Linked DNA regions of Drosophila melanogaster. The protein of the gene in region 2 interacts with the protein of the main gene of each other region in a biochemical or structural test. Each region holds a gene or a part of one and is shown on either strand. Other genes may lie near its edges. The genes, in order: Sox21a and chinmo.

Region 1 (3,928 bases), on a different chromosome or scaffold from region 2:
CAGTGCTTTTTAACCAGACCCCAGTGAACAATACTTACCGCAATCGTTTTGCCTCGTCGATGAATGGACGCTTCTGTCCTTCGGTGAGTAATTTCCACTCGGCGCCCAGGCGTTTTGATATTTCAGAATTGTGCATTTTTGGATTGTCCTGGGCCATTTTGCGACGCTGCCCCCGCGACCAGACCATGAAAGCGTTCATTGGTCGCTTAATGTGGTCGTGGCTGTTGTGATGGCTTCCAGTATTCGAATTCGAGTGGCTGGTCGGGGCATTATGGTGGGAGTTGCCATGGTGGTGCGTGTGCTGGTGCATTTTGGGTGCCACCGGAGTGGGGGCCGCTGGCGGAACGGCGAGGTCAGCTGGCGGCATCGGTGGTGGGGTGGTGTTTCCCGATCCAGAGCCTACTCCCACACTCATACCCATGCCCAAGCCACCGACCATGCCCAAACCCAAATTGATGCCGGGCAACTGCGGTGAGAGACTGCTGCTATGGCTGTGATTGCTACTCCCGCTGCTCGTGTAACCATTGCTGTGGCTGTGGCTCCGATGGAGCAGGGCCGAGATGCTCGTCATGATGCCGGGCGCGGAGTCAAGGGACTCCAATGGGGGTGCAGGTGGTAATTATCAGGTGGTAGTGCTGCAGCTGCTCCTCGAGCTCTGAAATGCCAACGGAAATGGTATTCAATAGATATGCCTTGTTAGCTTGGGGACTCTGTCTGCTGCTCCCTGCATGAGTCATTTGATTGGAGCTCTTCGCACTGCGAATAGCTTACCAAAAATATGCACAATGGAACTCCATTTACCCCTTCTAATGTGTGTGTACAGGGGGCTCAAAATGGTGTCCCGGTTTTATGACAAACCAATTTAAATATTTACCAGTAATTCAAATCAGTTTTCAGTATTGAGTATTTGCAAAATTGGGGATTTCCCTTAAATTAATATTATCCAAAATATATTCCTTGAAGAACGTATATTTGCATATTAACAGTACTGCCAAATTCGATTTCAAATGATGAATTAATTAAAGATTGGATTGGAAAATGATATATTTTTTAAAACAGGCTTTTCTAACATTGAAAATTGCAAATATTCATAAAATTCATTATATATTTCATATCCTTATAAATCTTTTGGTTTCTTTTTTAAGAAAATATATTTGTTCGCTTATTTCGCTTTTTTAAAGTGTTTAGTTTTTGGGGAGGAGTGTGCAATAGTTTAATTTAGAGCACAGCTTTTTCTTCATTTCATATTTAAATATTCGAATTGTTTACCTAGGGACCTTTTCTCATCATCATAATTAGCTTACCTGTATTAATTGTCTTTTAATTTCTCCCTAATAAAGTTTAAATTTGGATTCCATCCGATGCGTGACACTTAACTATCTAATTAATTGCACAAGAGTTTACGTTGCGATCGAGTTCTTTTTGTTTATTAATATTACTAGGTTAATTATTGTTGATCGCCATTAGAACTCCTAAAAATACACAAGTGCACTGATATGAATTTTTAACTTATTTTCCAAACAGTTCGAGATTTATAGAGCCTCGAATTTACGAACGTTGAAAGTATTTAAACCGTTAGACTGCCGATTCACCGTTAGCCGAGCGCAGCGCGTCCGTTTCGAGTGCGCGACAATTTAGATTTGAAAACACATTCGAAAACTTGCGACAAAAACGGCAAACAAACGCAACAAAAAGGGGCAAGAGGAAGAACGTGGGTGTTTGTAAGTATGAGGGTGTCTCTGTAGTGGTTGGTCGCTGCTGCGTCGCTGCCGCCCAAAAGGACCGAGTGGGAGCGAGACAAGGCGAGAGATAGTGCAAGGGAGAAGGGTCGCGCAAGTAAGAGAGAGAGAGAGAGAGAGAGAGCGCGCACATTTTGTAGAGTTTTTTACACCTTCGGAGGACGCGTCAACGTGGCGGCTAAGTGATAAAAATTCGCTGCTGCTGCTTTGTATCTTTGTATCTGCGTTTTGTATCTTATTGACAATAGTCTCCGGGTTTGTTTTCGTTTTGTGTGCACGTTTGCATTCTTGTTTACCAAACATTGCTCCTTTTGCTCTTCGCCAGTTGATGATATCTGCATTTTTTATCAAAACCGTAACACAAAAATAATTTTGAAAATTTGAATAGCCCAATAACATATTTCATATTAAGCTACCAATATCAATTTTTATTGTAAATATAAATAGTTTTCTTTGAAAAATTCAAGAAAATTCCGGCTAGTTCTGAGAATTTCGCTGCTATATTTATTTACAAAATATTAAATCATAAATTGGTACGTTTATAAAACACTTTATTATTCAGTTCTGTTTTTCTTCTATGCATTTGTGATCCAAATAAAAGGCATAGTTAAACTACTTTATAGCTCTTCTTAACTATGGAATGAGAACCCATTTTTAAGATGTCAAAAAAATGCCTTGATTAGTTTATTTAAATGGAATACAAAACGGAGTGGCAACAATCAATCGAATGAAAAATACACTTTAGCTTTTGAATCTTATACTACAATTAACCAAATATTGGATACTTACTTATATGCATGGTCTACACTATATGGTTATGGCACTATAATTTCTTACTGTGTATTAGACCGGTGTTTGCTCTCACAATCGATCGGTGGCTTATTTGGTATGTTTGCTGCAAGCTTCGGTATCCGCAAGATTGGCCCTTTTTGTTGGCAGGGTTGGGCCGCTTATTTCAATTGCTCTCCTTGTTTGTCACACACAGGAAATTCTCAATTCTTGTTGTTGCTGTACCAATAACGATTTCTGTATAATTGCAACGATTAGAAGCCCTTGATCCCTTAATAGTACCACCTTTATACATTTGCTAAAATTTCTTATAAATGCCGCTCTTTATAATTGACGGTTTCAATGTTCCGCCAACGGAGCTTCTCCCTTGACGAATACTAAGAAATTAGACAATTTTCCCGGTGTTTACAGTGTAATGTCAATAGAAAAGTGTGTAATATGCTAGGTATAGTACATCCGGAACAATAATTTCCCGATCACAATTAATTTTAATTAAATATGCTTTTGCAATAATATTTAACGATTATTGGGACTATTAGCAACATTTCCACAGTATATACTAAATCTTCAAATTAATTTGACCTAGAAAGTAACAAAAACAACATTTTAAAGATAAATGAATCGTCGCAGTGCTTTTTATTTTAAATTTTTTTTTTAATTTTATTGCGTTCCTTGAAAAGGTTAAGGAATAAAGCAATTAAGGATTTTTGCTCTGCATTCCTTGGCATTTTTAAAAAACAACTGTTGGCGCCATAAAAAGATATCTTCCTAAGGGGTTGTTTTGCGCAAGCGTCGCTCTTCAAATGGTCGTAACTTTTGTAGAGTTTCTGCCCTCTACTCCCCGACTTACCCCTCTTTTCGCCCCTCTCCCATATCCTTCTTCACCAAAACAAATGCTAAGTAGGAAACGCATTTGGCGGGTTCCCCCCTTCACCATCGCACAACAATAAAAATGGCAGCGCTCTAGAAATGTGTGTGTGTGTGTGTGTGAGCTGCCCCAAACCTCAACCCCCCACTTAAATCACCCCCAACGCCCACTGCCACCCCTCCTCGCACCCCTGCAACTGCGCGCATGTCGATTTCAGACACTGTGGACCAATGGCGTAGACAATGCTACGGGAAGTGGAGTTTGGGGAATGGGGCTGCTGCTTAGAAGCGTTCTCAATGGTGACGCGTTTTTTATCGCTTTTTGTTTTGCATGCGAATTGAATGCATTTTATTGGCCAAAAGCCAGAACAGACGGACCCAAAACAAAGGCGCCAGCAACTGGTGGTCCTTGGCTAGAACATGCCTGAGTATTTGCTTTATCTACCGCTGGCAGAGGAGCAGGATATTCGGCACGGAGACCTCGACATTCCGTTATTTGTTCCCTCTTAATGGACATTATGGCTGGCCCTATT
Region 2 (3,928 bases):
TTACATTATTATTACTATATAATATAATAATATTATATTGCTTGTACTTCTAGTATTATTTAATTTATTACTTTTTCCTTTTCCACGTTTTTTTTTTTCAGTGCGCTAACAAAAGTTGTGTAGCTAAGCAAAAAGTTGAGTGACGAAGAGCAGGGGAAGACGTAGGTCCAAAAAGTGCGTGCAGTACTGCAAAAGCAAATGGAGAGCCAAAAAGAGAAGCACAGGGGTGGATTTAGGAGGTGGAGTGAGGTTTATTGGCGCTCGACCGAAAAATGCACTGCATTTTTCGTTATGGAAAGGGTTTGATCTAGTGGTATTTTTATAAAATAAAAATATATGAAATTAATTTAAAATGCATCGAAAAAGAATTATTAAGGAACGCGTTCCGGAATAATTCCACTTCCGACTGGGGAAGCAAAAGCAGCAGCAAAAGCAGGAGCTTTTGCCTTTGCTTATTGGATTTTCGACGCCGGCACTCCACGTGTTTCTTGAATCGCGTAAATTGTTCGTTTTCCCTTACCACACCCCGCCCCTTTACCGACAAGCTTTCATTGTCATTGTGTGTGCATAAAATGGCAGCAGAGAGAGAGAGAGAGAGAGAGAATGGGAAAACATGCGCCAAAAAAAAGCTTACCGCTCTCTCCTCTCTTTCGCTCACTGCAAAACGAATGCGCATTGTTATTGTTTTTGGCAAGGCTGCACTGAAAAAAAAATACTGTTGCTAACGAACTGTCAATGAATAGAAATAAGGTAATTGTTTGATTCAACTTTATCAACTCTTTTTCCACTAAAATTAAGTGGTTATTGTTTGATTGGCTAGGAATTTGATATTTTTGATGGGAATTGCATTCAAAAAAGGGACTCCTGACACTTGTGTGAATAGGGGAAGTTTTTGGGCTGAGAAATGAAAAGCATTTTGAGGGTTTTTGTTCCAATTTTGATGGTTTGATCGGAAAGTTCTCAAGGGATATGCAAATTATGCGAGAACTGAGTAGTTAGGTTATTATTGTTTTCTTCCTAGAAATCAAAGACCAATTGTAAGAATTTTCTAAAGAATTCCAAAGAATTCCACTAAAAAAATTTTATCCTTTACTTTTGTTTTCTGAGAGTGATCAAGATTTTAAAGAAACGTAATGCGTTCTTTTGCATTAAAGCTATGCAATTAACATTTTTCCCATATTCCCATCTTAACTCATTGTGCCGATCTTAAAGTGGTTTTCCATATAAATCGCCTCTTGCGAACCCTATTTCTATTGCATCTAATATTCAGAGACCACCTGGATGGAATCCCCCGCTGTTCGAATAGGTTAAGACCAAGTTAAGGTTTGCTTTTGCTATTTCGGGACGAGATTTCCCTAAACATTTTCCACTTGAGCGGAGCTCCTATAAATTACCTCATGTCCTTTGCCTTATGCAATTGCGCCTGCAAAAGAGAGAGTGAGAGAAAGAGTGAGAGACTCACCCCCGGATTATGAGGATATATGTAATTTTTATCCTGGGGCGGCAGTGCATACACACAGAAAAAGACATGCAAAAAGCAGTTGCAACGACCATTACTTCTACTCGCCTGAGTAAATTGTGTTCTAAAAATCATTAAAAAAAAATATGTAAACTATTTTCTGTTATACTTTAGACTATTTTCGGTTATCCTTTTTAAGAATCCTTGTTGGAGATGTCCAATCTGACAATTGCAAGTTGCTCGCCTGCATTCCAATTGGATTAAAAGCTCGCTCGCTCGCTCGCGCTCTCTTTCTCTCTCTCTCTACGGAGCACACCACTGCACGCTTGTTCGTTCGCCGCCTGTTGGAATCGAAATCGAATCGGCAGTCAAAAAGAAACTGCCGTGTTGAACGGACGTGTTGAAGTTTCGCGGTTGCTTGTTTCGGTGGTGCTCGCAGCAGCAGCAGCGTTTGTGCATTCGCATTCGCAGTCGCAAATTCGCATCGCCTCGTCGCTCGTCAGCCCTGGCAACTGCAGGCAACTCAAGTTTTACACGTAAATTAAGAAACGAGGAAGCACGGACAGAATCGAAACCGCTTGATAAAACAGTTATTCTCTACATTTCTGAACTGAAAGAACTGCAGCGGATGAAGTGCAAAAAGCGAAAAGTGCTAAAAGTTTGCGGCATTGAACACTTTTAATTATTATTTACGTTTTGTTTGTGTTTCGTCGAGCAAAGCAAATGCACAAACTAACTGTCCAGTGTGCATGTGTGTGGCAAGAGTGCGTGAGTGCGTCGTGAGTGTTGCAAAACGGCTGTTCGCCTAGTAATTCAAAGGTAATTTTGAGTGAATATTGATCATATTGAAGTGCATGTGGTATGTTTCAAAGCTCAAATAAAGTGACATAAAATCAAAAATGAACAATTATGCGTGTGTACTTGGTTTTCTCGCACACATGAAATTCTGGCCTATGTGTGTGTGTGTGTGACTTTGCAACTCGAATTTCAAACGGTACAAAACGCAGCATAAAAAATGAAGCGAATAGCAAAAGCAAACTGAGAAAAAGTGAAGTATAGACTTTTATGCATAACCAAAACGTCTGCATTTTTAATCAAGCAACAACAATAGAAAAATAAGCAAAAGCAAACTACAACAACAACAGCGAGGAGTACATGGAACAATAAACAACCCTCCCCGTTTTCCGCCTCCCCCTGAAAATAAACAAGGCGCAATACCAGTGAACTGAACCCCTTTTTTGCACTGTGTGTTTATGTGTGTGTGTGTGTGTGTGTGTGCTACGAAATAGCAATTAAGGGAGAATAGAGGAAAGTGCATGAAGTGCAGGAAAGAAGGCAAAATGCAATTAATCCCCAGGACACTTGTTCAAAAAAGCGAGAGAAAAGTGTAGAATAACGGTGAACAAGTGTTGAACAACTACAGAAATACACTACAAAATGTGAAAACTTCTTAAAAATAGTTTTGAAGTAAATGTTCTTAAAACAATTAGACAATTCACTGCTCAAATAAAAATGTTTCCCCTTCCCCAAAATTTCCAAGTCCCAATGCCATATAAAGTGTTTTTGAGTAGAATAAAAGACATTTGCCAGAAGCAAAGTGGGAATTACGGTCCCAAAATGGGAAAATGAAATATATTCTGCGATAATAAAATCATTAATCCAATTCCACTTACAAGAAATCGGGCTGATAAGAAACCAGAAATTCTGGGCACAAATGAAATGAAATTTATTCGGGTGAACTGTGACAAATTAATATAATATTAAAAAGAAAATGAATACTTAAAACATGTCACATTATCCCCGAATAGATTTGAGTTTCAATCAGCCAAATTCCACTTACACTTTTTAATAACAATTTTCTAACCGCTTTTGTATTTGCAGCCAAATGTCAATGTGAAAATGTCTCAACGAGCAAATTTTAGGAAAGTCAAGAAAAACATTCAACGACCTCAAAACCAGCGAATGCTACAAAATGCGAATCAAGAACATTTAACCATCTAAATATTCAAAATCAATTTAATTGAATCAAATAACGCGAAATTGCAACAAATCAACCTAAAAATGAACTGAAAACAAAAACATTTCGAAAAACAACGCAAAATTCTAAAATTGGCAACATAAGTTTTGGTCTTGAATTAAATACAACAAAAATAAATTAACAAAAAACGATTTTTGGCAACAAAACATCATACATAAAATATACACAAATTGTAATTATCTCAAAACGTCCACACGTGAAAATGATTTGCAACTAAGATGACAATCTAATAAAATCAATGTAAATTTTTAACGCAACAAAAGGAAAACCAAAACCGTCAGCAAAAACCAGCCCAAAATCAGTTGAAAAGCCGAGGGAAATCTTTTTAGAACAAACGCAGAAAACCGCAAAAATTTAAGCCACCAAATTGGTAAACTATTCAAAATTATTGGTTCGGACATACGCAATACTAAACACAGCAACACAACAAC

The links.
Region 1: the proteins of chinmo (region 2) and Sox21a form a complex in vitro, tested with the Drosophila melanogaster proteins (one study listed by BioGRID).

Annotation. Positions count from the first base shown.
Region 1 is NT_037436.4:14,106,504-14,110,431, forward strand, and holds the start of Sox21a (Sox21a), read right to left. Parts: upstream 1,616-3,928; 5' UTR 1,305-1,615; intron 656-1,304; 5' UTR 572-655; coding exon 39-571; intron 1-38.
Region 2 is NT_033779.5:1,649,435-1,653,362, forward strand, and holds the start of chinmo (chronologically inappropriate morphogenesis), read left to right. Parts: upstream 1-1,823; 5' UTR 1,824-2,278; intron 2,279-3,340; 5' UTR 3,341-3,928. UniProt on the Drosophila melanogaster protein: Required for morphological differentiation of postmitotic neurons during postembryonic brain development. Ensures production of appropriate neuron subtypes within a lineage by preventing precocious generation of late neuronal types of that lineage.